7 linked regions of the Oryctolagus cuniculus genome follow. The protein of the gene in region 1 interacts with the protein of each later gene in a pairwise test. Links are inferred from orthologs where the notes say so. Each region holds a gene or a part of one and is shown in the gene's direction. Other genes may lie near its edges.

The links.
Region 2: the proteins of NUDT18 (region 1) and APIP interact in binary tests that used the Homo sapiens proteins (3 or more experiments, as listed by UniProt). The two-hybrid records come from large-scale screens. The link is inferred for Oryctolagus cuniculus from reciprocal best matches to the Homo sapiens genes NUDT18 and APIP.
Region 3: the proteins of NUDT18 (region 1) and PAICS interact in binary tests that used the Homo sapiens proteins (3 or more experiments, as listed by UniProt). The two-hybrid records come from large-scale screens. The link is inferred for Oryctolagus cuniculus from reciprocal best matches to the Homo sapiens genes NUDT18 and PAICS.
Region 4: the proteins of NUDT18 (region 1) and GLUL interact in a two-hybrid assay, tested with the Homo sapiens proteins (2 studies listed by BioGRID and IntAct). The two-hybrid records come from large-scale screens. The link is inferred for Oryctolagus cuniculus from reciprocal best matches to the Homo sapiens genes NUDT18 and GLUL.
Region 5: the proteins of NUDT18 (region 1) and RABAC1 interact in binary tests that used the Homo sapiens proteins (3 or more experiments, as listed by UniProt). The two-hybrid records come from large-scale screens. The link is inferred for Oryctolagus cuniculus from reciprocal best matches to the Homo sapiens genes NUDT18 and RABAC1.
Region 6: the proteins of NUDT18 (region 1) and DUT interact in binary tests that used the Homo sapiens proteins (3 or more experiments, as listed by UniProt). The two-hybrid records come from large-scale screens. The link is inferred for Oryctolagus cuniculus from reciprocal best matches to the Homo sapiens genes NUDT18 and DUT.
Region 7: the proteins of NUDT18 (region 1) and RAB3IL1 interact in binary tests that used the Homo sapiens proteins (3 or more experiments, as listed by UniProt). The two-hybrid records come from large-scale screens. The link is inferred for Oryctolagus cuniculus from reciprocal best matches to the Homo sapiens genes NUDT18 and RAB3IL1.

Annotation. Positions count from the first base shown.
Region 1 is NC_091439.1:1,194,098-1,198,182, forward strand, and holds NUDT18 (8-oxo-dGDP phosphatase NUDT18), read left to right. Parts: upstream 1-1,285; 5' UTR 1,286-1,391; coding exon 1,392-1,547; intron 1,548-2,189; coding exon 2,190-2,403; intron 2,404-2,690; coding exon 2,691-3,286; 3' UTR 3,287-3,629; downstream 3,630-4,085. UniProt on the Homo sapiens protein: Mediates the hydrolysis of oxidized nucleoside diphosphate derivatives. Hydrolyzes 8-oxo-7,8-dihydroguanine (8-oxo-Gua)-containing deoxyribo- and ribonucleoside diphosphates to the monophosphates. Hydrolyzes 8-oxo-dGDP and 8-oxo-GDP with the same efficiencies.
Region 2 is NC_091432.1:31,094,414-31,098,571, forward strand, and holds the start of APIP (methylthioribulose-1-phosphate dehydratase), read left to right. Parts: upstream 1-1,358; 5' UTR 1,359-1,548; coding exon 1,549-1,605; intron 1,606-4,158. Other genes in the region: PDHX (pyruvate dehydrogenase protein X component, mitochondrial), read right to left, coding at 1,027-1,186. UniProt on the Homo sapiens protein: Catalyzes the dehydration of methylthioribulose-1-phosphate (MTRu-1-P) into 2,3-diketo-5-methylthiopentyl-1-phosphate (DK-MTP-1-P).
Region 3 is NC_091439.1:108,079,519-108,083,018, reverse strand, and holds part of PAICS (bifunctional phosphoribosylaminoimidazole carboxylase/phosphoribosylaminoimidazole succinocarboxamide synthetase), read left to right. Parts: intron 1-248; coding exon 249-332; intron 333-1,415; coding exon 1,416-1,596; intron 1,597-3,377; coding exon 3,378-3,500. UniProt on the Homo sapiens protein: Bifunctional phosphoribosylaminoimidazole carboxylase and phosphoribosylaminoimidazole succinocarboxamide synthetase catalyzing two reactions of the de novo purine biosynthetic pathway.
Region 4 is NC_091444.1:796,938-801,074, reverse strand, and holds the start of GLUL (glutamine synthetase), read left to right. Parts: upstream 1-1,337; coding exon 1,338-1,503; intron 1,504-2,148; coding exon 2,149-2,310; intron 2,311-3,230; coding exon 3,231-3,377; intron 3,378-3,469; coding exon 3,470-3,597; intron 3,598-3,715; coding exon 3,716-3,915; intron 3,916-4,137. UniProt on the Homo sapiens protein: Glutamine synthetase that catalyzes the ATP-dependent conversion of glutamate and ammonia to glutamine.
Region 5 is NC_091449.1:12,583,810-12,587,539, reverse strand, and holds RABAC1 (prenylated Rab acceptor protein 1), read left to right. Parts: upstream 1-1,283; 5' UTR 1,284-1,424; coding exon 1,425-1,480; intron 1,481-1,753; coding exon 1,754-1,966; intron 1,967-2,070; coding exon 2,071-2,168; intron 2,169-2,831; coding exon 2,832-2,933; intron 2,934-3,011; coding exon 3,012-3,109; 3' UTR 3,110-3,230; downstream 3,231-3,730. UniProt on the Homo sapiens protein: General Rab protein regulator required for vesicle formation from the Golgi complex. May control vesicle docking and fusion by mediating the action of Rab GTPases to the SNARE complexes.
Region 6 is NC_091443.1:71,080,680-71,084,668, forward strand, and holds the start of DUT (deoxyuridine 5'-triphosphate nucleotidohydrolase, mitochondrial), read left to right. Parts: upstream 1-1,189; 5' UTR 1,190-1,300; coding exon 1,301-1,502; intron 1,503-2,056; coding exon 2,057-2,195; intron 2,196-3,804; coding exon 3,805-3,896; intron 3,897-3,989. UniProt on the Homo sapiens protein: Catalyzes the cleavage of 2'-deoxyuridine 5'-triphosphate (dUTP) into 2'-deoxyuridine 5'-monophosphate (dUMP) and inorganic pyrophosphate and through its action efficiently prevents uracil misincorporation into DNA and at the same time provides dUMP, the substrate for de novo thymidylate biosynthesis.
Region 7 is NC_091432.1:10,259,713-10,263,212, forward strand, and holds part of RAB3IL1 (guanine nucleotide exchange factor for Rab-3A), read left to right. Parts: intron 1-2,446; coding exon 2,447-2,699; intron 2,700-3,354; coding exon 3,355-3,450; intron 3,451-3,500. UniProt on the Homo sapiens protein: Guanine nucleotide exchange factor (GEF) which may activate RAB3A, a GTPase that regulates synaptic vesicle exocytosis. Promotes the exchange of GDP to GTP, converting inactive GDP-bound Rab proteins into their active GTP-bound form.

The DNA of each region.
Region 1 (4,085 bases):
ATGATCTCACTCTCTCGTTCAGTCATCCCTGGAGGCAGAAGGGAGTCTGGCAGCAGTACTGCCCCCACTTCACAGGTGGGAAAACTGAGGATCACACACGCACGGAGCCAATCTGTTGTCCTGGGGTACTGCACCCAGCCCCAGGGAGCTGGTTGAGAGGTGTTGGACAGGGCAAGTGCCTCAAAAGCTTAGGGGGTGCCCGTGTGGCCCTGCACAGGGCTCTGTCTGCAGCAAGCGTGCAGCCAGTCCCCCACCGCGAGAAGGGTCTACGGCTCCCCAGTGGAACCTGTTCTCAGGCACAAGCCAGGAGGGTGGGCCTTTGCGGCGTAGCCCAGCCTGCAGGCTCCGGGGCTGCCCGGGGCCCACACGGCTCCTCTCGAATAGCCTGCCTTGCCATCCACCCTGGCCAAGAAAAGCTGCCAGGAACCTAATCGGAAGCCCACCACATCCCCAAGGAGCGCAGAGCCGGCCGGTCAGCAGGGCGGGTGGGTGGCTTTGCTCTCATCAGCCAGCTACTGTCCCCAACCCCCGAAGGCGGAGGGAGGAGGGGCCGGTGGGGGAGGCCTGTGTGGGTGAGGAGCCCAGACTTGGCTGGCTCTTCGGATTCCTCCCAGCTGGCGGCGAGGAGGAAAGGTCAGGCTGAGCCGAGCGAGCGGGAGCTGGCCACGCTGCAGCGCCCTGCGCAGGACACGCCGTGGACAGGAGGACGCTAAGGGCAGCCCCCAGTGCCCAGCCCTGTCCCCTCCCCGCGTCCGGCCCGCCCCGATCGTGATCACTTAGCATTTAGGCTGTCACCCTCAACCGACTTTTTATTATGGATCAGAACCTCGCGTTCCCGAACCCCAGCCCTCGGCGGGACATCCAGTACGTGTCAGCGAAGTCAGAAGAAAGTTACTTAGGTCGTCATCATCTCAGACAATGCCCTGGCGGGTTAAGACAAAAGGCGGGGGCCGCGGGTCCCGGGGCGGACACCCTGGCCGCCGTGACGTCATCGGGCCTGTGACGTCACCGCCGCGGCGCCCCGCACCCTGCGGGCCAGATGGCGTCACCATCGGAACCTGCGTAAACAAGTATGCGCTCGGGGAGCCGCGGCGAGAGAGAGACAGAAAGAGACAGAGAGAGAGAGACAGCGCGCTGACCCTGGGGCAGGAGCCGGGCCGGAGGTCCGCTCGGCCCCACAGGGCGTTAGGCCCCCTGACGGGCTGGCCCCGCCCCGGGCGGCCGGCGCGGGCCAATCCGGGCGGGCCGCGGCGCCACGCAGCCTATCAGCGGCCAGGGCTCGCCGGGCGCTTCCGCGTTGGGCAGCTCGCCGGCGCGGGCCGGGCCGCACGCTCGGCCGCAGCCCCGCCTGGCCGCTGCGCGGGGCCCGGGCCACCGCCCGCCGGGGCCCGATGGCCTCGGAGGACCTGGCGGGGGCGCTGGCGGCCGTGCTGGAGGGCCGGGGGCTGCGCGTGCACAGCTGTGACTCGGGGCCGGCCGGGCAGCCGCGAGCGCGGCTGCGGACCAACGTCTCCTACGTGGTGCTGGCCGTGTTCCTCAACGAGCAGGTGAGCGAGCCCGCCGGGCCCTGCTGGGCACGAAGACACAACGGCCAGGGCCGGCGCCGCCTCGCGCGTGGCGTTCCCCAGTTCTGCAAAGCACTCACTCACGCGCGCCTCGCAGCCCTGTGGGTGGCCGGGTGCACAGAGGGCTGCGCCCTGGCCCTCGGTTCCTGCAGCACAGAGCTCCCCTCCCCCAGGGCCTAGCACGGTGTGAGCTGGCTCCCCGGGACGTCTGAGGCGTGGCCTGCGCCCCCCCACCCCCACCCCCGCCTGGTTATGGCACAAGGCAGGCTCACGCTCAGATCTGACCCCTTGTCGCTGCTCTGGGTCCCTGTTGTAGGCTGTGAGATAAGAATCAGAAGGGGCCAGAGCCCCAGGTGGGCCTGCATGGGGGTGTTGGGGGGGGATCAGAACCCAGACCCCAGAGTGAGGACCTGCCACTAGGCTGTGCACCCCATGGGGACGCGGGAGACACACAGTGACACAGTGGAGACACACGCGCAGCCCGATCTTGACCCACAGAGAGCAGCTGGCTGCAGGCCCCCCGCCCCCAGGGAGGGGGTCTTGGGCAACCCCAGGGCAGGGAAGGGCCTGGCTGGCTGGCCTCTCCCGTGCGTGGTGGAGAGTGCCAATCCCCTCTCCCCTCAGGACGAGGTGCTCCTGATCCAGGAGGCCAAGAGAGAGTGCCGGGGGTCGTGGTACCTGCCGGCGGGGAGGATGGAGCCCGGGGAGACCATCGTGGAGGCCCTGCAGCGGGAGGTGAAGGAGGAGGCGGGGCTGCAGTGTGAGCCCGAGACCCTGCTTGCCGTGGAGGAGCGAGGCCCCTCCTGGATCCGTTTTGTGTTCCTGGCTCGTCCCACAGGTATGGCTCTCCTGGGGCAGTGCCGTAGCCGCCTTCCTCCGACTCCTCCACCCCCACCCTGTGGTCTTCCGGTGAGATGAGCCCACTCCCTAGCCAGCCCTGTGCTGACTGCTACAGCTCTGGCACTGGCAGACCCTAGCCTGGGGAGGTGGGAGTGGGGGAGGCTCAGCCCCGGCCCCGGCCCCGCTCGGGGTTAGAACCAGGGTGGCCTGCCGGGTCTGTGTCCTCTGTGAGATCCGGTGCTTCTTCCCACCCACACCACTGCTCCTGCCCCCACTCTCCCCTAGGTGGGACGCTGAAAACCTCACAGGAGGCTGATGCGGAGTCCCTGCAGGCTGGCTGGTACCCACGCAGCTCCCTGGCCACTCCTCTTCGAGCCCAGGACATCCTGCACCTGATAGAGCTGGCCGCCCGGTACCGCCAGCAGGCCAGGCACCCTCCCGTTCTGCCCCAGGAGCTGCCCTGCAGTGTGGTGTGCCAGCGGCTCGTGGCCACCTTCACCGGTGCCCAGACGGTATGGGTGCTGGTGGGCACGGTGGGGGCGCCTCACTTGCCCGTCACGGCCTGTGACTTCGCCCCTATGGAGCAGAGGGGCGGCCTGAAGGTGGCCGTGCTGCGGCTGCTCCAGGAGTGCCTGACCCTGCACAGTTTGGCCGTGGAGACCAAGGGGCTGCTGGGGTTGCAGCACCTGGGCAAGGACCATGCCGACGGCATCTGCCTGAACGTGCTGCTGGCGGTGGCTTTTCGCAACCCGGGCATCCAGGAGGAGCCCCCGAAGATTCGGGGTGAGAACTACGCGTGGTGGAAGGTGGGGGATGCAGGCCTGCAGGGCCAGCTCCTCCAGAGGTTGCTGGACTGTTCTGCTGTCCCACTGAACAGATAGGTGCCCTCCCCGAGGGACGCGGAAGCCAGCAATCTGGGCTCGTGCTGCATCGGCAGCAGAGGCTGCTCTGGGTCTCGGGGCCTGCGGGGAGCAGGCTACCACAGTGCATCAGAAGGGACAGTGCCTTCACCAAGCAAAGGGTCCAGAGGTCCAGGGCCCTGCCGCCAAGGGCACACGATGCGTCTCCCCCCCGGGTTGGGGAGGGGGACGCGGGAGCATCCTGGAGTCTCGTTGTTCTGTGTGCACCCCCATGAAGGCCCCGCCCTGGCCTCTGCGGGCACTTGGGGCTCCCAGGGGACCAGGAGGGCATCCCTTGCTGAGTAAACAGGTGTTGCCACCTGCCTTTCCTGCCCAAATGTCTGTGTGGGGAGGACACGAGGGGGCTGCTGCTGTGTGGCCCCCGGCTCAGCAGTGGCCGCCGCCCAGGCCTTTCCCTGACAGTGTGCTGGCACTGGCACCGGGCAGGACGTCACCGAGGGGACCACAGCCCCAAGGGAGGCTCAGCTATAACCCTGCGGGGTGGAGCAGCGGGCATCTGCAGAGAGCTGCCGGTGGGACGGGAGCTGTGAGTGGTGTCCCCGTCTCTGCCCAGCTCCATTCTCCTGGCCCGCCCTGGGCCGGATCCTCCACCGCCTGGCCTTTTCACAAGTCCAGTCCAAGCTGGAAACCCTTTTCTCCACTGCCCCCAGCCCAGGCCACCCATGGTGGGATTTCTTTCAGCTTTGCGAAAAACACAAGGGGAAAAACCACAGGGGACAAAATGTGCCACTGGCTGTGTTCAGGCCTGTGTCCAGCCACG
Region 2 (4,158 bases), on another chromosome or scaffold:
TAAGGTAGTGAGCCTCAAGGTATACTCTATCAAAAGTCACCTAAGGTTGGTTGTAAAATGCAGATCCCTGTGCTCCATCTGAGACAATCTCTGGAAGCTATAGAAAAATTCTATACACACACACTGCCGAAGAACCACTGCTCCAGGGGGTATTTTATGAAAATCAGCCTGAAGAAACTGAAATAAAATATTCCCATCCCCCAATCTTTAGCAACTGCAAAGCACTCATCTTACCCGTGGGGCTTTGCAAAGCTCTTTTTCCCAGCCACAAGCAGCTCACAATGTGCACCCAATGTCCATTCTAATTTTTTAAGTAAAAATTCATTCTGTGGAGTGCCAGGAATGATGACTGGTGGGTAAAAATGTTAATCCCATTCTTCGCCCCACTCTTACCCTCTACCCCGGCCCCGTGCATGGAAGAATTATGCCGGGCAAGCCTTTTCACACAGTGCACGGTTAAATACTAGAACTGTATGTCAATTGCTGTCAATCAACATCACTACCAAACGGCGATTTTCTATAGCACATTTAGCCCCTGCCAAGTTCCACCCTTTCGAGCTAATGTTCTGCTTGAAATATTTTCTGGAACTTATGTCTGTAATGCCTCATGTACAAATTATGATTTTTACGGGTCATCGCGTGGGGAGACCCGAGTGGCCTCGAAGAGCTTACATCTCCCAAACGAGACGAGCCTAGCGAATGAATAACGGCCAGCCATGGCTGTGAATCTCAACCTTGGGCAGCTTCTCGCGTGCCGAGATGCCTGACCACACAGATAGGCCTTACAAATAACCCAAATTCCAAGGCAAGGTCGAATCAGGGGACAGAGTCAAAATCTCCCAGCTCCCAAGAAAGCCCTTTGCGGCATACATCAGGCCAAGTCAGCGGACCCACCCACGAGAAAAGAGGAAAGCAAGAAGGGAGCCGGGCACCTCCACACCCAGACACAAGACCTCTGTCCATCACGTCCCTGACCCCGGGCCCACTGCTCTGCTACAGAGAAACTGAGGGCACCCCTGCACTCACCCCGCAGCCACTGCGTGCTGTGCAGCCATCTCCAACTAGCCCCGCGGCCGACAGAGCACCTAGCAGCCCCCTTAACCAGACCCAAGCTTCGCTGGCCACCGAAGCCCAGAAGGTATCGCAGCAGCGCCGGGTCACAGCCCAGCCTCCAGGAGGCCGCCATCTTTCCCGGCCTTCTCCCGGGCTGCCCACAGCACAGCCTGATCGCCCAGTCCCAAGGCCCTCCCTGGCCCCACCTTCCATCTGGCAGGCCACGCCCCTAAGACGCCAGCCGGACCTATAGGGCTCGGACACTGCAGAGACTTCCGGGAACCGCCTCCAACCTCGTTGGCCACGCCTCCCTGTCGGGCAGCGGCTTCGCAGGATTCCCCCAGCCAGCGAGGCCCTTCCAGGCCCCGCCCCACCGGGTTGCCCTCAGCGCCGCCTGATTGCACTTGCAGCCTCGCCGCACTAGCCCAAGCGGGGCGCCGAGAGAACGCAAAGTCCTGCGAAGACGAGAGGCCGAGGATCATCCTAGTCCAAGTCATGTCTGGTCGCCTTGCTCCGGAGGGAGACTGTTGCTCCCGGCGCTGTGGCGCGCAGGTAGGGGCGGGGCCGCGGCTGTCCGGCTCTTGGGAGGAGGCGAGGCGCTGCGGGGCGCGGGCCCGGCGCGGGGGCGCGGGCGGGCGCGGGCGGGCGCGGGCGGGGCTTCTGTCATTGCCAGTCGCGCGGCCGGCGGCGGGAGCTGGGGGCTGAACCCTGAAGAAGGGCGGGTAACGGAGTGAGGAGAGTGTTTGGGCGACTGGAAGATAGTCACACACGGGTGTAGGCAGGCCCCCAAAGTAAACCTCGTTGAAATACCAGCATCGAAGTGACCCTTCATGAAGGGACCCACGGATAAAGTAGGAGTCTCAACCCAGTCGTAAGCCTGACAGTTTGACAGACGTGTTTTGGTTCCACGCGTGTTCATGAAAGATTTGAACCAACAGTTGGAAATCGGGACCAATTTCAGCCTCGCTTAGAACTTGGCCAGTCATGGCGGTGCTGGGCCTTGGCCATTGTGGGATCTGGATGGAGCTGAGTGGCGAGCACCACCTTTCCTGGCCGCTGCTTCCACTACTCAGAGACTTGCATGTGCGCTGAGGTGCACTGGGCCCCCGACCTCTGTGTCCGCTTGGTTTACACAAGTACATTTAATCGAATCGGAGCAGCAATTAGAGAAGTGTTAACACCCTGTCAGTGTAGTGTTAGGGTATCTGGAGACGATTGAGAGAGACGGTCTCATTGGCCTTAAGGGAAGTCTTCAATTGTAAGTACTGAACTTAGTACGCACGTTCAGTGTTTCCTATGAACCTAGCATTGTAGGTTTTACACAGTGCAAGCCACATCTGGTTCCTTCCCTCACAGGGCATTCTGTGTAGTGGGGGATAGAAAATAGGAACAGAGATAAGGACAGTATGACTGGGACATACTGTGATGAGAAAGTTTAGGATACTGTATGGGGCACAGACTTGAGATGAAAGAACGCCTCTGGAGAAAATGAGGCCTCAACTAAGGCCTAAAGGAAGACATAGTCCCATGAAATGCAAAGGAAGGGTTCCAAGTAGAGAAATGGCATGTATAATTCTTAGTGACAGGGATAGACTAAGTCTTCATTGTCAAGAGAACTTTTTTTTTTTTGACAGGCAGAGTGGACAGTGAGAGAGAGAGACAGAAAGGTCTTCCTTTGCCGTTGGTTCACCCTCCAATGGCCGCTGCGGCCAGCGCGCTGCGGCCGGCGCACCACGCTGATCCGATGGCAGGAGCCAGGAGCCAGGCGCTTTTCCTGGTCTCCCATGGGGTGCAGGGCCCAAGCACCTGGGCCATCCTCCACTGCACTCCTTGGCCACAGCAGAGGGCTGGCCTGGAAGAGGGGCAACTGGGACAGAATCCGGCGCCCCAACCGGGACTAGAACCCGGTGTGCCGGCGCCGCTAGGCGGAGGATTAGCCTAGTGAGCCGCGGCGCCGGCTGTCAAGAGAACTTTGATGTTCCTCTCAAGAGAATGTAAAGTAGGGAGAAAGGACTTGGGAAGAGATAGGCCGAAGAGGAACACCAGAACCAGACGTGTGTGGCCTGATAAGCCAATCTGAGAACACAGGCTTGTATGCTAAGGGCAGTGGGATGCTCCAGAAGATGGCTAAAGAAAGCACAAAATGCTGACTCGAGGTGAAGCTGAAGGGATGGGAGACAAGATGGGAGACAAAAGAGAAAGCTTGGCAAGGGATGGCAGTTTCGGGAGTGTGGGAGGTAGGCAGTGAAATCAAGACAGTGTAGTTTGTTGATTAGATGTATTATATTTGAGGAAAGCAGGAACCAAGAGTGATTTCTAGGTTTCTAGTGGAGTAACTGGGGCTTGGTGATCCCCAAGAAAGAACACAGGAGGGAGAAGTGGTTTGTGATGAGCCTTGCCTTTTGAGGTCCATGGCTCGGTGTGTGGTCTTATAAACTGGGCAGTTGCATTTATGATTCTCAAGCTCAGAAGAGAGAGCGTCATTAAAGAGTTGCAAGGTGGAGCAGGCAGTTGACACAACGGGTAAGATGCTGCTTGGGATGTCTGGGTTGGACACCCAGCTCCACTCCCAATCCCAGCTTCCTGCTAAGGTGTACTGTGAGAAGCAAGCAGGTGATGGCTCAAGGGGTTGGGTCCCTGCTACCCATGTAGACAACCTGGCTTGGTGTCTGGCCAGGTCTCAGCTGTTGTGGGCATTTGGGAAGTGGACCAACAGGTAGTATACACCTATGTGTGTGTGTCCGTGGGTGTGCACATGCACCTGCCATTCAAATAAATTTAAAAAAGGAAAACATACTTGGAAGCCTTCACCAAAACCTTCCTTCTAAAAACTTGTGTGTTTATTGTTTTTCCTTTGATAAACATTCTCCTCTTAAACCGTATTTAATTACTTTCCTTCTTCTGTAGTCCTTTCAGTAATGTTATTTTATCATCCTGTGCTCTAATTTCCCCGAGTGATTTGTGTTTCAGCAACTTTCTTCTGGTACTCTACAAAGATTCTTCAGGCACTGGTGTATTATTTTCAGGTCAAACTGAACTCATAACAGTAATCTGTACACAGATTTCATGGTTCTGAAATTAAATCCCCAGTGATTTACTTCAGGC
Region 3 (3,500 bases), about 110 Mb from region 1:
CCTCTCTATACTTAAGATCTCCAGGGCAGGCAATCATGTTTGCTAGTGCAGAAAGCATTTCATCTTATGTGAAAGTAAAATTGTTTTGCAGCTGAGCTTTGTCTAATTGTGGAAATGAATTTGTAGATACATTTTTAGATACATCACTTGCAGGGCAGACCCTTCATGATCCCTGCCCCAAACCCAGAAACCAGGTAGCTTCCGACAGCGGAAGACACTTGTTTTCTAAACCTTGTCTTACTTTCTAGTCTTACCGTGACCTCAAAGAAGTGACTCCTGAAGGGCTCCAGATGGTAAAGAAGAACTTCGAGTGGGTTGCAGAGAGAGTGGAGGTAAACCTTCACAGTAAACCTGTACTGTATTGTGTTCTCCTCTGAGAAAATCCTGTTTCACACAAGGTGTGGACACACGCAGTGCTTCTCTGTCAGCGACTCTGCAGGAGAGAGGCCCCTACAGGGAGTGGGCAGCCTGTACACTGGCACTTCTGCTGTCGAGTTGGCCTGTCCATGCCTGCCCGCCCTGGTAGAAGAAACTTTACATTTCCTGCTTGCTTCTCCCCTCACTGCTCAGGGTTTTGACCTCGGGGTGGATAGAACTTCATGTAGCTTTTTAAAACACTGCTTTAATGCGTATGGTATTTGTACTATAATTCCATAGAAGCTGAATGGGATTTGTGGTTATCCAAGGCTCATACTCACCTTTCAGAACATTAATTACATGAGAATAGACACTTTGAGCTCTGGGCAACCCACTGGAAAAGATTTATAGCATGATTTCTAAATTTGGCCTGTTATACCTTAAGAACCACCGTTAAACAGAATGCCCTAAAACTTAGAATGAAATAGTTTGCTGTAGTTTCCTGACTATTAATTAAAAAAGATTTGAGTATGTATTATTTTTATTAATAAACATAATTTATCTGACTAAAAGTCTGATGGGGGGGCAAGATTTATGTGAAAGGCAAAGCAACAGAGACAGAGATCTTCCATATGCTGGTTTTACTCCCTCGATCAAAGTCAATCTTGGTCTCCCACATGAGTAGCAGGGGCCCAAGGGTTTGGACCATCTTCCACGGCCCTCCCAGGCACAGTAGCAGGAAGCTGGATTGAAAGCGAAATAGCCAGGACTGGAGCTGGTGTTCCAGTGTGCAATGCCAGCATTGTAAGCAGCAACAGAACCTGGTCTTGGTCCCCTGTTTATGTCTTGATTATGAAGACCACTTTCCTTAATATAGAGAGTTTATTTTTAAAAATTTAAGCCTCTATCATTTGGTTTTTTTATCTTAAATTTGGTCTAAGAAAATATTCTGCACACATGTAATTTTATTGCAGACTGTACCTCTGTAAATCAACTGTTCTTATGGTACTCATGTTTGTTTTTATTTTCTTTTTTCTTTCTGTGGTTTTCTTTTCCAGTTGCTTCTGAAATCAGAAAGTGAGTGTAGGGTCGTAGTCTTGATGGGCTCAACTTCTGATCTCGGTCACTGTGCAAAAATCAAGAAGGCTTGTGAAGCTTTTGGAATCCCATGTGAACTCCGTGTAACATCTGCCCATAAAGGACCAGATGAAACCCTGAGGATTAAAGCTGAGTATGAAGGTAACTTCAGAGAATTAGCGCCCTCTGGGTGCTCCTTGGACTTCATGACCCTGAAAGAGAGCTTTCCCACAGCTCCAAGGGACCATCATGTGCCATGCTAGGCTTGTGTGGTACTCCTCTCCAAAGAGCTTAAAGTACTTCAGGAGCTTGTAAAAGAAAGGAGCAGGGGGAAGAATTGCAACTGTAGGCTGAAAGGTAGACAGTAAAAGTGTGAGAACTTCTGAGGTCTTCACCTGCTGAAGACACCCCAAGCATTCTTTCTAATGTGCGCCAACGTATGATGGCTGCTGTCCATCACGAGAGTCCCAGAGTTGGAATAGGAGAGCTCTCTGGGAATGAGCTGCCCTTCCTGGGAAGCAGTCAAACACAACGTTAAGAAATATTGCAGTACATAGTACATGATGGGATAGCATTAATCTAAAATAGAGACCTGGATTTACAACCCAAATGTATCTCAACTGAAAAAAACAGTGGTTGGCTGTTCCTTCTACAGGTAATTGCTGTGGAAATGCACTTGTTAATTTGAGGGAGGTGGCAGGCAGGAGGAGGTCTCAGACCCCTTGGTGAGCTGATGAACCTAGAACTCTTTGACCAAGAAACTCAACTTTGGATTCTAGGTTACAAATCTCTGCTTTAGGAAAGGGATACTTTTAATAAGTTCATTAAAGAATGAAATGATTGAGTCAAGCATGTATGTTTACAGTTTAATATGTTTCAAATAGAGCGTCTTAAAAAGGATTTGTTTGAAATGAGGAATTATAGACAGCGAGTGAGAGAGTTTTCACTGGCTGGTTCACTTCCCAAAATGCCCATCAGTGCCAGGGCTGGGCCAGACCGAAGCCAGGAGCTCAGAACTCCATGCAGGTGGCAGGGACACAGATACTCAGGGCATCTTCTACTGCTTTCCTGGGTGTGTTAGCAGGGAGCGTATCGGAAGTGGAGCCGCTGGGACTCGAACCAGCTCTCATTGGGTCATCAGTGCCCAGCCCTAGATAATTTTTTTTTTTTTTAAGATTTATTTATTTATTGGAAAGGAAGAGGGGAAGAGGCAAAGGCAGAAAGAGAGAAGTTTTCCATCTGCTGATTCACTCTCCAAATGGCTGCAACGGACAGAATTGCCCCAGTCCGAAGCCAGGAGCCAGGAGTTTCTTCCAGGTCTCCCAGGTGGTGCAGGGGCCCAAGGACTTGGGCTGTGTTCTACTGCTTTCCCAGGCCACAGCAGAGAGCTGGATCAGACCTGGAGCAGCCGGGACTCTAGTGCCCATAGGGGATGCTGGCACTGCAGGCGGTGGCTTTACCTGCTTTGCCACAGTGCCAACTCCAAGGATAATATATTATTAAACTTGCCTTCAATTCTTTTTTCCATGAAGCGCACCTGAACCTTCAGTCACTGCTAAGCGGGTGTCCCTGGCCCCCTTTTGATTGCAGGACTGCTCCGTGGAAAAGATCCCTTTTCAGTTGTTGACACCCTTTGTTTCCAGCAGCCAAAGCAGAAGAGGCCTGTGAGCCATCCTCCCAGACACCCTCTCACATCCCCTTGTATTCTAGAACTTAAACATGGCCCAGCATATCCAAGCTACTTTATTATCTGACTTATGGTCAGTGGCAGAGTGAACCTACATTATGAGCATGTGTCTCCTAATTGGGTCTCATTTATGCTTTCTCCAGAGAACACTACTTGAAGAACTCAAGAATTTAATGCCTAGAGGTCTTTCTAAAACAAAAACGTATTAAATCTCCTTTGAATGTTTAACGGCATGGTAAACGTGTGGTTTCCCTAGGGGATGGCATCCCTACTGTGTTCGTGGCAGTGGCAGGCAGAAGCAATGGTTTGGGCCCAGTAGTGGCGGGTAACACGGCGTATCCAGTTCTCAGCTGTCCCCCACTCACCTCGGACTGGGGAG
Region 4 (4,137 bases), on another chromosome or scaffold:
CCGTCGCCGGCAGGGGGCGCCCCTCGGAGCCCTGCTCGCCGGAGCCCCACGCGGCCCGCACATCCCGCCGGCCCCGCCCCGCGCCGAAGTCGCCATCTTCGCTCCCCTCCCCCCGGCGCCTTGCGGGTCGTCCTCGGCCGCGGAGCCAATCAGGGCGCGGGGCGGGCCGGGGCGGGCCCGGGCGGTCGGGCCGCAGATAAAGCGCGGGCCGCGGGGCCCCGGGAGCCAGGACCGGAGCAGAGCGCCGCCGCCGTTGCGCGCCGGCCTGCGCCGTCCGACCCCGCCGCTCCCACCGCTCCCGCCGTCCCCGCCGTCCAGGTGAGTGCGCGGGTGGGCGCCGCCTGGCCCGCAGGGTCCCCGTGCCGCCGGGTGACCCAACAATGCGGCCGCGCCCCCGGCCCGCGCCGCGTCCGCCGGGCCGGGGCCGAGACGAGGCGCGCAGGGCGCGGGGCGCGCAAGGTGGAGTCGCGCTGCTCCCCCGGGGGCGGGAAGCGGGGGGGCCCCAGCCGCAAGGCGGCCCCGAAAGCCGCGGACGAAGATGAGGACGACGGCGCCTCGCGCTCCTCCGATTCCCCCTCCAACTGCTTCGGCTTCGTGGCCTACTCGGTGAACTCTGGGGAGAGGGCGCGCGCCAAGGTCAAGACCTCGGGCCCTTGGAGCGAGCGCCTTGCGTCCCCGGCGCCGTCGCCGCGGAAGCTCCGGTGCCTGGACCAGCACGACACGGAGCCGGCGGGGCGCGAGCGGGGGGTCCGGGCGGGGGGGCTCCGCGCCGCGCCGCACCTGCCATGGCCGGACCTGCCGCGGCTCGGGTGAGCGCCTGGAGCAAGGCGGGCCCAGGGCCTGGGGCCGGGGGACTCGAGCCCGGGTGGGCCCCGCCCAGCGCAGCCGCCGGCCCCGCCCGGGAAGCGGCGTCTGTTTTCCCTGCGGTGGGGATTTGGGGTCACGGCCTGTAGTTGCTAGAACTGTGGTTTGGGGGGGCCTCCCGCCCTCCGCCTCCTGTCCGAGGGTGGGGGTCTCCTCCAGGGCGGCAGCCTCGGCTTCTGAGCTCTCGCGTGGAGTACGAAAAGGGGGAAGCAGGCCCCGAGGGAGCAGATCCCAGCTCGGTCCCGGGGCCCAGGCCGCCACCCCCTGAGCTAGCAGCAGGAGTGGGGCTGGGACTCCGGGCCTGGGCTGCGTGTGAGTCGGGGCCTGGTGACCAGATCCGTCTCTGGGGCCGGTGCGCCGCCGGCTTCCTCCTGCGGGCTGGGCGTGTTGCTTGGGAGGGAGGGGCGGCCCCGGCTGGTGCAGGCTCGCCCACGGTGTCGTGTTGCTTCGCTCTCCCCAGAACGCCATCCACCATGGCCACCTCGGCAAGCTCCCACCTGAACAAGGGCATCAAGCAGGTGTACATGGGCCTGCCGCAGGGCGAGAAGGTGCAGGCCATGTACATCTGGATCGACGGCACGGGGGAGGGGCTGCGCTGCAAGACACGGACGCTGGACTGCGAGCCCAAGTGCGTGGAAGGTGAGTCGGCCAGGAGGCCGCCCCCGCCACGGCGGCCCCTGCGGGGCTCGGCAACAAAGGGACCCTGTGTTTGAGAGGAGGCCTGAGCCAGAACCAGGGTGTTTAAAAGGAAAAAAAAAGATTTAAAAGCTTTGCAGGGGTAGGGGGCGTGGCCATGCTGAGAGTCCCCGTCAGGCAGTGCCCATGCACCTGTTCCCGGGGGGCTCCTGCGTGGTCGTGGCCCCGTGGGAAGGGCCCCCAGGGGGTGCCCAGGACACGGAGTTGTGCACTGCCTGCAGGCGGCCGAGGAGCCCGGGGGCGCCAGGAACAGGTCTGCATAACCTGGGAACATGCTGTGGGCGGGTCCCGAGCCGCCTGCCCGGGGGTGGGGGTGGGGTGTGACTTCAGAGGTCTAGCATGTGCCTCCCGGTGCACAGGGGACTTCTGGGGGGAGGGGGTGACAGGTCCCTGGGGCGGTTTCTGTGACTTGTCTTCATGAGACAATGCCTGACAGTGCCTCGGTGGTCTTGCTGGGAGGCAGCCACCAGGGTACGCAGGGGAAGCAGCCTTGTGCCCCTCCGGGACGGGACCCCGCTGTGGGGCCGGGAGGGGGACTGGCTGCCTGCCTGCATGAGGCCTCACGGAATTTTCCGTCTGTCCCGCCAGAGCTGCCCGAGTGGAACTTTGACGGCTCGAGCACCTTCCAGTCGGAAGGCTCCAACAGCGACATGTATCTGGTCCCCGCCGCCATGTTCCGCGACCCCTTCCGCAAGGACCCCAACAAGCTGGTGTTCTGCGAGGTCTTCAAGTACAACCGGAAGCCGGCAGGTGTGTGGGGCGGGTGGGAGCCCCGGGCCTGACCTGCGAAGAGGTGGTGGTCCTGGAGCCGCCTTGGGTTCTGGGGCTTGAGCGTCCGTGGCTGCGCGCCGGCTTGCTCTGGAGAGGAGCTGCCGTGGCTGGGCCGTGGCTGGGCCGTGGCTGGGCCTGCCTGCTGAGGGCGTTGCATTCTTCTGCCTGTGCACTGGGGAGGGGGGGGGGCCTGAGTCCTGGGCTGCCCCTGGTGGGCAGTGAGCTCCCGAAGCGTCTCCTCATCTTGCGGTAGGGACGGTGACGACCGCGTCCTTAGAAGACGTGAGCCGGCACACGCCGTCAGGCCTGCTGGGGGCCGTGCTGTGCTGCCGTCCTCTGGGCCCCCGCCGCTCCTCGCGTGCAGCTCCGCCCCCCTTTTTCCTGTGCAGCCTCTTGCTCCCGCCAGTGAGGCTGCGGGGTCCCCAGGCCTCGGTGCCCCGGGGAGGCAGAGCTCCAGTGCCGAGACGGCCACGGGCCAGGGTTGTGGTGAGGGCTTGGCCGAGCGCTTCTGGGCGACACAAAGGTTGCACGGGTTCCTGGGCACAGTTAAGTCTGTGAAAGCCTTGCTAATGGGGACGCTGTTTCCAGCTGAGGTCACCTGACCTGGGTCTTCCTGCACCAGCAGCGCCCTGCTGCCCAGGGCGAGCGCCTCGGTCAGCCGTGGGCTCCAGGAGCCCGGGGAGGGAGGGGAGGGCGGGGCGGCCCGGTGCCTGGCTCCCTCGCCTGTCCCGATGGAGCTTGCGCCCCGGGGCCTGGTGTCGTGAGTTCGCCTGCGGCCCAGGTCCTTCAGGGTCGCCCCGCAGGTGCTGCTGTATGGCTGCTCCCGTTCTGACTTGCGGGGCGTGGGCAGGAGGTTGTGGGAGGTTGGCCCGGCGGCCCCTGACCCTGCCGCTCCGCAGAGAGCAACCTGCGGCACAGCTGCAAGCGGATCATGGACATGGTGAGCAGCCAGCGCCCGTGGTTCGGCATGGAGCAGGAGTACACGCTCATGGGCACCGACGGACACCCCTTCGGGTGGCCTTCCAACGGCTTCCCTGGGCCCCAAGGTGAGCCCCTCGCGCCCGCCCCGCCCCAGTGCTCGCCTGGGACGGCGGCAGGGAAGCCCTGGCTGCTGAGCCCTGCCCTCTGGCCTCTGCAGGCCCCTACTACTGCGGCGTGGGGGCCGACCGGGCCTACGGCAGGGACATCGTGGAGGCGCACTACCGGGCCTGCCTCTATGCCGGCATCAAGATTGCGGGGACCAACGCCGAGGTCATGCCTGCCCAGGTGACTGCCGGAGCAGCAGTGGGCACACGGAGGCTCAAGGGCCCCAAACCCAAGGGCGGGGCGGAGTCCAGGGCGGCGGGGCGCCTGCCCCTCTGACAGCGGCCTCTTGCGCTCCCAGTGGGAGTTCCAGATCGGGCCTTGCGAGGGCATCCACATGGGAGATCACCTCTGGGTGGCCCGGTTCATCCTGCACCGCGTCTGTGAGGACTTCGGCGTGATAGCGACCTTTGACCCCAAGCCCATCCCTGGGAACTGGAACGGCGCCGGCTGCCACACCAACTTCAGCACCAAGGCCATGCGGGAGGAGGACGGGCTCAAGTGCGTGTGGGCATGGCCGGGGGATGGGCCTTGGGGGTCAGGGTGGGCTTTGCAGAGCCCCCTGCTGGGAGCCCTGTGGTTGCTGGCGGCTGGGAGCCGGGAGGCAGGCAGGTCCACCCTGTGCACAGCTCAGACCCAGCCGGTGCAGGTGTGGGGAGACCCCCGGCTGCCACCCTCCGGGGTCCTGGGGTCCGTGGGGGCTGCGGCCGGCTGGACCTGGGT
Region 5 (3,730 bases), on another chromosome or scaffold:
AGCAGCCAGGTCTCGAACTGGCGCCCATATGGGATGCCGGCAGTGCAGGTGGAGACTTTACCCGCTACGCCACAGCGCCGGCTCCTTGAGGCCTCTTCCACTGTTTTCCTAAGCATATTGACAGGGAGCTGGATGGGAAGTGGAGCAGTTGGGACTCAAACCATTGCCCATATGGGATGCTAGCGTCACAGGCGGTGGCTTAACCTGCTGTGCCACAATGCTGGAGCTGACAGCTCCTTTAAACACACACACACACACACACACACACACACACTTCTGTTTAGGGGCCAGCGCTGTGGCATGGTGGGCTAAGCCTCTACCTGTGATGTCGGCATCCCCTACGGGTGCTGGTTCAAGTCCTGGCTGCTCCTCTTCTGACCCAGCTCTCTGCTGTGGCCTGGGAAGGCAGCAGAGGATGGCTCAACTGCTTGGGCCCCTGCACCCACGTGGGAGACCCAGAGGAAGCTCCTGGCTCCTGGCTTTGGATCGGCACAGCTCTGGCCGTTGTGGCCATGTGGGAGTGAACAAGTGGACGGATGATCTCTCTCTCTCTCTCTCTCTCTCTGTAACTCTGTAAGTAAATAAAATACTAAATAGCAACAAGAACAACAAGTTCTCTTAGGGGAGAGGGCCATTAGCCTAGTGGTTAAGGCACCTGTGTCCCACCTCGGAGTGACTGGGTCTGGTTCGGGTTCTGGGGCCCTGGGAGATGATCGGGCTCCTGGGTCCCGTGTGGGAGACCTGGGTTGAGTGGATGGGAGTTGTGTGTGTGTGTCTCTCTCTGAAATAAATGTAAAACATAAAGTAAAATTCTCAACCCTCTCCTCAACCCCTCGTGGCTGTCGCGAGTGTTACCCTACTCACCCCGGGATCCCTGGGAGGGGCCCGCTCCCCACCTCTCGAGGACGGAACGGACGCCCACAAATTCCCTGCAACCCTGGGGCTCGGTATGCGGCCCGCGGGGGACTTGATACAAAGGCGGATTTCATGGCCTGCAGTCCAGACTGGCTGAGTCGGAACATTTGGGCCCGAGGCCTAGGATTCAGTGTTTAATCAAGCCCGCCAGGGTACATTTTTATGCCTTCTAGAGTCAGGACGACAGCCCCGCACGGTCCCCACTGGACCCTCCGAGGGAGAATACACAACACTTAACTCCCCACCTCCCACTCCTGAAACTACAACTCCCACAATGCCCAGAGAGACCACAACTCCCACAATGCCCTGCGAGCCAGACTGCCGTCATGGCGCCCAGTCGCCCGTCGGGACTACAACTCCCACAATGCTCGGGGAGCAGAGCTCCTCCCCCAGCGGCGCCGACGCGGAGCCACGTCCGCGCCGCTGGGTGAGGCCTGGCACCGGCGGGGCCCGAGGGGTCTGCAGGGCCCGGGGCCAGTTACAGCGGTTCTGCCCTTCACAACGTAGACATGGCGGCCCCGAAGGACCAGCAGAAGGAGGCCGAGGCCGAAGGGCTGAGCGCCACGTGAGCGAGCCCGCTGTAACCCGGGGGTGCCGGCCCCGGCCTCCTCTCCCCTCGAGTCGCGGGGGTCCTGGCCCCCGGACACCGAAACGTCTTTCTAGGACGCGAGTCCGGTCCCCCGGCCCCTTCCTCCCCCGGGATCCAGGGGAAGCCCCTCCCTGCCCCGCCCCGGCCCGCCCCAGGGCCCAGGCGCCGGCCCTCCCCTCCCCCCTCCGCTGGTGTCTGGGAGGGGTCGGGGGTCCCGGCTCACCGCTGCCCCCCCCCCCCGCCCTCCAGGACCCTGCTGCCGAAGCTCATTCCGTCCGGCGCCGGCCGCGAGTGGCTGGAGCGGCGCCGGGCGACCATCCGGCCGTGGGGCGCCTTCGTGGACCAGCGGCGTTTCTCGCGGCCCCGCAACCTGGGCGAGCTGTGCCAGCGCCTGGTCCGCAATGTGGAGTACTACCAGAGCAACTACGTGTTCGTGTTCCTGGGCCTCATCCTGTACTGCGTGTGAGCCGGCCCGCCCCACGCCCAGGGCGCCCTGGCCTCCGCCCGCTGCGGCCGGGCCCGGGCCCTGACCTCCTGACCTCCGCCTCCCTGCCCTCCTCCTCCAGGGTGACGTCGCCCATGCTGCTGGTGGCCCTGGCCGTCTTCTTCGGCGCCTGCTACATCCTGTATCTGCGCACGTTGCAGTCCAAGCTCGTGCTCTTCGGTGAGAAGTCACCTCCTGGCCTCTCGGCTCGCAGACCTCGGCCCCCAAGTCCCCGTCCCTGGGGCCTCACCCGAGCCTGGCTCTCGGGATTCCCGCAGGCCTGACACAGCTGGTGTCCCAGCCTCAGCCCCCGCGTCGCCCTCGCTCACCCCCTGGCTAAGCCCCAGCCCTGCCCCAGCCGCCGCGCCCTCCCCGCCTCTGCGGGAAGCATCGCTGCACGTCCCCACACGGGACACCAGGTGGCGCCCTTGCACCGGCCTGGCCCTCCCCACCTGTCTGCGCCCCGGGGTGGGACCGGGGAGGTCTTGGGGCTGCTTGGGGAGGGGAGTCCAGGCCGTGCCTCCTGCTACCGAGCAGAACTGGCAGGTTGGGGGGCAGCCAGGGGGTGGTCGGGATCAGGGAGCCAAGGGCAGGGGGGCTGGGGTTGGCAGAGCGGGGAGGGGTCCCTGAGGAAGCCCAGCCACACCCTGGCCTCGCCAGGCTGCAGGTGGCGTCTCGGCCGTGTGAGGTTCTGTCCATTTGTGTCCTCCACCGGCTGAGACTCGCCGTTGGAAGCTGAGCTGGGAGCTGAGGGAGGCGGTGGGGACGCTGGGGGCCGGGCAGGGGGCAGGGGCCGCTTTGGGGGGCCGGGTGGAGGCAGCTGCCCATGCCGTCTGCCCGCAGGCCGTGAGGTGAGCCCAGCCCATCAGTACGCCCTGGCCGGAGGCGTCTCCTTCCCCTTCTTCTGGCTGGCTGGGGCCGGCTCCGCTGTCTTCTGGGTGCTGGGTGAGTGCCGGGCCGGGGTGGCGGGGTGGCGGCGGGGCCGGGCCAGGGGACCCGCCCTGAGCCGCCCGTTTCCCTCAGGGGCCACCCTGGTGGTCATCGGCTCCCACGCCGCCTTCCACAAGGTGGAGGCTGTGGACGCGGAGGAGCTGCACATGGAGCCCCTGGAGCCCGTGTGAGGCGTCAGCGAGGCCCCCAGCCGGGCGCCCACCCTTGCCCACTGCCCACCGCCAGCACGTGCCCCATGTCGGGGGTGGCTTCCTGAAATAAAGCTGTGACGCTGTCACACAGCACGCGGCCCCCAGGTCTCCTGTGACGTCACTCAGCACAGGGCCCCCGGGTCTCCTGTGACATCACTTGGCACGCGGCCCCCAGGGTCTCCTGTGATGTCACTGGCACGCGGCCCCCCGGGTCTCCTGTGATGTCACTGGCACACGGCCCCAGGGTCTCCTGTGACATCACTGGCACACGGTCCCCCGGGTCTCCTGTGACGTCACTGGCATGGGGCCCCCCAGTCTCCTGTGACGTCACTCAGCACAGGGCCCCCAGGGTCTCCTGTGATGTCACAGGCATGTACCCCCGGGGTCTCCTGTGACGTCACTGGCACACGGCCCCCAGGGTCTCCTGTAACGTCATGGCACGTGGCCCCCCGGGTCTCCTGTGACGTCACTGGCACGCAGCCCCCCAGGTCTCCTGTGACGTCACTCAGCACACAGCCGCAGGGTCTCCTGTGACGTCACTGGTACGCGGCCCCCCGGTCTCCTGTGACGTCACTGGCACGCGGCCCCCCGGTCTCCTGT
Region 6 (3,989 bases), on another chromosome or scaffold:
ACAATCATAACATTTTAGAAGGGCTCAATTTATTTCCCCTGCACTTTTGCAGGAAATTACTAGAGAAAGTACTTCAGCAAAACAAGGGAGTAAACTAAGAGGAAGATACTAAGCCATAAAAACAAGGCTCTAGTACAAGAGAGGTAAAGGGAATGAAGTGCCTGGATGACAGCTATTCAGCAGGACTTACAGCCACTAGTACAGACTAGAGAAAAAAAAAATAGAAGAGGGAGGACTGGAGGCTGGAGAAAGGTTCTAAGGGGAAATAGAACTTGCAGGTATTTGATGTATTTAGATGCTTCATTTGATGCTATGTAGGTAAATTAAGTACACCACCAACAAAAAGACAAGGAAAAACAAGGTATTAACTTGAGGGGGACAGATATAAAAAAATGAAATAATATTATTACTTGTCTTGGCAAAAATGATATTGATGGAGTCATGATGAAGTAAATATTAACTGCTGAGAACATCCTTATATGGCAGATGGGAAGGAGAAAGGGTAAGAGACTTCAATTCTCAACTATTCTAATTCAGAAAATTTATGGTATCAAAAAAATAAAAAAATAGCAGCATGCCCTGGAGCGCCTACTTATTTTGAAAAGTAAAGTGCATGATTTTGCAGTCCGTTCTGGAGATAACCAGGGACGTGTGGATCCCAGGGAAGTGGCTTTACAATGATCTAGACACTTCTGTATTCACCCCACTGTAAGGTAAACCACCGTGGCCCAGGATCTGTGTTCGAAACCCGGACACGGGACTCCCGCTCTGCGCTTCTGCTGGGTCAGGCGGAACCTCAATGCCAAGAGTTCGACGCCGCTACCCTTGCGGACAGCTCTCACCCTCCCTCCTTTACAAGCGTCCTGCGCCCTCGGAACTGCCAGGAACTCGGGCGCGCAGCCTCGCGCTCAGCCTCGGCAGCGGTCCGGGGCGCAGGGACCGCCGCGGGCACTGTGATGCGCAGTGAGCGCCCCAGGGATCAGAGCCCTGGGAGCCATGGCCACGGGCGCCGCCGCCGCCCCGGGTAAGCAGCCGAGGAGCAGGGCCCCCTGTCCCAGCCTCCGACGGCGCGAGAACACGGCGAGGGGCGAGGGCGGGAGGCGGCACCGGGACTGGAGACACCGAGGGCCGGATTCGGGGGCCCCCCGGGGGCCTGCGCCTGCTCCAGGCAACCTACGCGCCGCCTCTCTTCAGAGGCGGTTACTACTTCCGAGGTCACGAGCCCGGGACGCGTTTAGGGCGCACGGCCTGGCGCGCGTCCGCGGGCGCCGACCACCAACCAGCGCAAACCTCTGAGGAAATGACTGCCCTTGTTCGGCGGCCCGCGGCCCGCTACCGTTTCCTTCCGTCTTTGCTCAGCGCGGGGTTTACGGACGCATGGCGCGCTCGGCTGCGACCTGAGCGCGCAGGACTCTCCGGGCCTGGCCCGCCCCTCGGCCCCGCCACGCAGCGTCGGCTGCTGTCCAGCGCTACCCGCCGGAGCCGAGGCTGCAGCGGAGCCAGTAAAGCCGGGGCCGGGCTGCAAGTGCTCGCTTTCTAAGGCGTGGGGAGGCTGGGGGCCGCTGCACCGCCCCTGCCAGGGGCCAGGGAGGGCACTGCGCGCGACCAGGGAGGAAAGCCCCTGGCGTGTGCCAGTAGGGGGAGGGGGAAAACGCTGGGCCTAATTACGCACGAGAGCGAGTCCATTCCATCTCTAGGTGGGAGGGTAGGGGTCGTTGTCGGTCTCTTGCGGACGACACGGCGGAAGCCATCTCCATAGGTCTGGGGCCATGATTTGAGTTCGTGAAGTTTTAAGAGGCTCCATCGTTTCCAAACCCAAACCTGGTCAGAGAGACGGCCTCCCAGCCTAAAATTTGAACCTCTCCACCCCTCTCCGCCGGAGCTGTGGGCTCGTCCGGGAGGTGGGGCGGGGCGGGGGAGAACTGGCGGGAAGCTTTTAAAGAGATTGTGGTGGTCCCCGGGGCTGGGCTCATTCTGCGCTCTGTTGTCCCCTCCCCCATCTCTTCCCGCTTCTGCTATCGCTTGCGCCGTCACGCTGCCATGCCCTGCTCTGAAGAGGCACCGGCCATCTCGCCCAGCAAGCGGGCCCGGGCTGCGGAGGAGGGTACCATGCGGCTGCGCTTTTCCCGCCTTTCGGAGCACGCTACGGCCCCGACCCGGGGGTCTGCGCGGGCCGCGGGCTACGACCTGTACAGGTGGGTGCCGGCCCGGGAAGAAAGCTGGGAAGGGCCGCACCATGTGTCCCCGCTCTCTCTACTACCGCCTCAGAGGTGGTGCAGAGCGCGCGAAGTCGAGTCAGCTTGCATTTAACTGGAAACATTCGCCGAAAAAGTGACCAAAATAAACCGACCGACATTTCTATGTTGCAAAACGTTAATTTTTGGCTTTAGCGGGGAATCCATAGGGATTTGGCTGCAGCGTGTAGCATGGTAAATAAGGACACGTATGATGTGTCTACCCGGGTGGGTTTTTATTTGGGCACTGGTTATGCCCTTATCCAGTGGAAGATGGAGATGAAAAGGGTCGGTGTTGGCCCTCAGAGCGTGGCCTGAGGCTGACACGGTGCGCATTAGAAAGGAAAGCCTAGGTGGGAGACTGGCTTCTCGTACGCTGAGAACCCCTCTCAGGAGGTGAATGAATGCTGCTGCTACCTGCCTGCAAGGCTTGCTTCTATATGCATCCACCTCAGTAAGGACCCGACTATGAGAAGCAGGGACACCAGGCACACCCTTTCATTCGTTCAGCCCCTTGGCCTGTACTAAAAGCTTTCCCTTATACTATTTTATATCCTCACGAGAATCTTGAATTAGATGAGTGTTCCTTTTTGCAGATAAAGGAGTATATGAAGATGTGAATTTATCTGCCCCAGGGCTCGAATGTCATAGAATTTTTTTTTTACCCTGAATTTAGTGGGTTTTTGTTTGTTTTTGACTGTGCTTGGTTCATAGTTGAAAAGGGATGGTGGGAGGGAGGTGGTGTTCTGTGATTAAATTCCAAGCATTTGGATTCATTTTTAGGGCATTCCAAGTAATCAGATGTGAGAATTTGTGCTCTGAGTACAGGAGAAGGGGAGAGAGGAGTGCATGATGGCAGTACCAGAGAGAGGAATGGAAAAGAGAAGTGGGATGGGTAGGCTGCCATAGCCCAAAGCGGTGTAGTGTAGTCTCTTAATTTTAATGGATAAAAGTAGAGTGATAATCGTTTGACTGGATCCTTCCCAAGTGTATATCTGGGCACTGTTGTGAGTCCTATGGGAGACTGATTTAAAATACTTTAAGCATCCACCTAATGAATATAAATGACCTTCTGGATACTACAATTGTCGTGGAAATAACCTAACCCTTTAGTAAATCAGGGCTTAGCTATTTAAAGAGGAAATTTCAATATAATCTATATATTAAATATAGTAATACCTTAACAGATTTAATTGAAGTCTCCAAAGTAACTTCCACTTCTCATTGTAAAATCTCTTGAATTTTTATGAAGTAGTTGTCAAGTCTCCCAGTGGCATTTTGTTCAGGGGTGAAGACATTTACAATGTTGACATCTCTTCTCTCCACTAAAATAAATTCACAGAGAATTATATCTAAGCTATCGTCAATTTAGTAATATGCAAAAGGAAAATTTCTGCTTTATAAACTTTTTAAAAAAAGAATTTGAAATTCATCATAGCAAGATAAAAGAAGATTGTATGAATTATTTTATGAAATATATTTAAAGCATTTCTGTGCTTGGTCACAAGGAAAGAAAATGTAAAAACAATTGTAAGTAAATACCAGTTCTTTTCTTTCGATATCTTCTTAGTGCTTATGATTATACAGTACCACCTATGGAGAAAGCCATTGTGAAAACGGACATTCAGATAGCTCTTCCTTCTGGATGCTATGGAAGAATAGGTATGTAATTTAAGGAGCAGGTAAATTTTGTCAAGTTCTCCCTTTGTGATGTGGTCTTTCATGTAAGTTTTGTTAAGTAAAAAGGGGTATTGC
Region 7 (3,500 bases), on another chromosome or scaffold:
CAAGCCAGCGCTGTGTGACTCCAGGCCCTCTCTGGGCCCCCTCTGTAGAGCGGGGGCAATGCCATCAATGCCGTTGAGAGAGTGTTGTTCAGTGGAGCAGGGTGTCGGGCACCCTGGGTAGGGCATGGAACAGGGTGGGTCCCCTGGGTACAGGCCCCAGCCCATGGGGGCTAAGACTCTTGGGAGTGTCGGGGAGCCCTGGCCAACAAGACTCCCGTAACCCACCCAGGGAAGGGTCTTGGGGGCCTCCCTGTCCCACAGACCCTGTTGTGGGAGGGAGTGGCAATCAGTGTACCCAGCTTCGTCCTCAAGTCCAACTCCCCGCCAGACAGACCCGGCCCCAGGAGCTTCAGGCTGTACAATGGGCAGTTTCAGAGCCCAGGGCAGGCTGAGCTGGGCAGCTGGACAGGGCCTGGCGAAGGGCTGGGAACAGGCTCACTGCTGCACTTGCTGGCTGCTGGGTCCCTTTGTGTTATCAAGAGGGAAACTGAGGCTTGGGAGCTGCTTGGGGGCCTCCCAGAGTCCCGAGAACAGGGTGCTGGCCCCCAGACTTGCCTTTCACCCTTACCCCTCAGCGCTCCTCAGTCTCACCTTTCGCTTGGCCCTGTTTCTCCTCTTGTCTCCTTCCGCAACTTCCCCTTGGTTATCAGCGCCCTGGCCCAGCCCCCCACCCCGGCCCTGCCCCAGCGGTCAGAAGCTGCTGGCTCAGGAGCCGGGACTTTCTGCTGAGCAAGCAAGTCCAGAGGTGCTGTCTTGGCACAAACCACCAAGCCCTCCCCCCTTCCCTTTCCAGGGTCTGTGGAAGCAGGGCGTGCGCATGGGGGCAGAGCGAGGACAGAGGCCCCACGCTGCCTCCAGGGTCTTCCGCTTCAGCTTCAGGAAGGAGGGCCCCAGACCCAGGAAAAGGGGTGCCTGCAGGAGGCTGCCAGGCAGGCCAGGAGTCCAGAGGTGGGGGTGGTGCCGCGACTGCTCCCTGCAAAGCACAGGAGGGGGGTCTGCCTTGCCAGGGCTCTGCAGGACCTTCCTGCCCCAGCCCTGCAGCTCTGGCCTGCCCCTCCGCTCCGCTGTGCACGGGAAGGGGCAGACTTTCCATGAACTACTTCCCACCAACATTTGCAGGAACCGCATCGTGGTGACTATGCCAATGAAGGCAGCTCTCACTGGAGCGACTCCGAGGGCTCAGATCTCACCCACACCCCCCACCCCCATCCCTGGGATTCACCATCACTGGGTGGGAGGCTCCCACTTGGTGAAACAGGGACTCCAGTTCTCAAGCTCTTTTGTTTTTCTCGTTGTTCATTTTTTAAAAAAAAATTGTAATTAGTTTTTAACAGATTCAGTATAGTTTGTAGATACGGTTCTAAAAATATAATGGTCTTTCCTTCCTCCCTCCCTCCTTCCCATAACCCTCCCTCCCCTTCCCTTTCTTTTTTTCAGTTTTTGAGATAACATATTTTATTTATTTATTTATTTATTTATTTATTTATTTTGGACAGGCAGAGTTAGACAGTGAGAGAGAGAGAGAGACAGAGAGAAAGATCTTCCTTTTTCCGTTGGTTCACCCCGCAAGTGGCCGCTACAGCCGGCGTGTTGTGGCCAGTGTGCTGCGCCGATCCGAAGCCAGGAACCAGGTGCTTCATCCTGGATTCCCATGCGGGTGCAGGGCCCAAGGACCTGGGCCATCCTCCACTGCACTCCCTGGCCACAGCAGAGAGCTGGCCTGGAAGAGCAACCGGGACAGAATCCGGCGCCCCGACCGGGACTAGAACCCGGTGTGCCGGCGCCGCAGGTGGAGGATTAGCCTAGTGAGCGGCGGTGCCGGCCTTCAAGCTCTTTTTTTTTTTTTTTTTTTAAGATTTGTTTATTTATTTGAAAAGCAAAGTGACGGAGAGAGATCTTCCATCTGTTGATTCACTCCTCAGATGGCTGGTGGAGGCAGAAGCCAGGAGCCTGGAACTCTAGTCGGGTCTCGCACATAGGTGGCAGGGACCCAAGTATTTGGGCCATCTTCTGCTACCTCCCCAGGCGCTTTCACAGGAAGCTGGATTGGAGGCAGAGCAGCCAGGATTTGAACCAGCGCTCCGATTTGGGATGCCTGCATTGCAAGCCGCCTTTAACCCACTGCGCCAAAACGCCAGCCCCTGGATTTCTCAAACTGTACACTCACCTGTTCAGCAAAAATGAGTTGTGTGATGGCTGTGTGTTGACCACCTGCTGTGTGTCAGGCACAGATCTAGGTGCAGGGCTGGAGGGGGTGGTTGACGGAGATGCGGGAGCCCTGACCTCACACGTGGCCACTCTGCCTCAGTGACAACCCTGGTGATAGCCGGCCCCATGTCAGAGATGGAGAGACTGAGGCCCAGGTGGGAGGTGTGCTGCCCAGGGCTGGCCCTCCAGGTCTCAGGACCCCATCCTGCACCTGCTGATGCCTCTGTTTGCCTTGCAGCTCGCCCCAGCCAGACGAGGGCCTCCCATCGCCCCTCCCAGTTGTCCCTGTCCCCTGGAACAGTGCAGGCCCCTGCAAAAGCCACAGGGAGGCCCCAGGAGCCCTGGTGGAGGCCTGCGTGAGGGAGGAGGCCCAGGGTGAGGAGGGCCCTGCAGCTGCCCGGCTGGACATGTCACGGCTGCGCAGCTCCTCCATGGAGATCCGCGAGAAGGGCTCGGAGTTCCTGAAGGAGGAGCTGCACAAAGCCCAGAAGGTGAGGCCTGAGGCCGCGCAGAGCCGGCCCTGGGCGGGTGGACGCAGCCTGGGGACGCCCAGAGATGCCCCAGGGAGAGGGGTCGTGTGCTGCATCCGAGGCCCGGGCCAGGCACGCAGGGGGCACAAGGCAGAGAGCGATTCTTCTTACGTCTTTTATTGAACATTTTTAAAAATTTATTTGAGAGACAAAGAGAGCTCCCCAAACGCCTGCCCTGGCCCTCAGGCCAGGGCCAAAGCCAGGAGGCGGGAACTCATCCAGGTCTCCTGTGGGTGGCAGGAATCCAATCACCTGAGCCGTCATCACTGCCTCCCCAGGTGCACATCAGCAGGAAGCCAGAGTCAGGAGCCAGAGCCGGGAGCGGAACCCAGGCCTTCTTATGTGCGATGTGGGGTCTTAGCCCCTAGGTCAGACATTCACTCCTTACCTTTTAAATGGTGTTCACGAGCCTTGCCTATTCTAAGACCCCTCTAACCTGCGATGGATTGATGGGCAGGTTCCAGCCTTTCACTGTGAGCTAAAAATGGACCATAAACTCACACCTGAAGAAGTGAGCTCAGGCCCAGAGCTCCACATATGATGTCCAGAGGAAGCAGCCCGGTCGGGTGCCGTCTGCCCTTCCCCGGAGCTCCCAGCCCCTACCCTGTGTCCCCAGGAGCTGAGGCTGAAGGACGAGGAGTGCGAGCGGCTATCCAAGGTGCGGGAGCAGCTGGAGCGGGAGCTGGAGGAGCTGACGGCCAGTCTGTTTGAGGTACGCTGCGGCACAGCCCGGGGAGCCCAGGCCTGGGCTGCCTTCGGCTC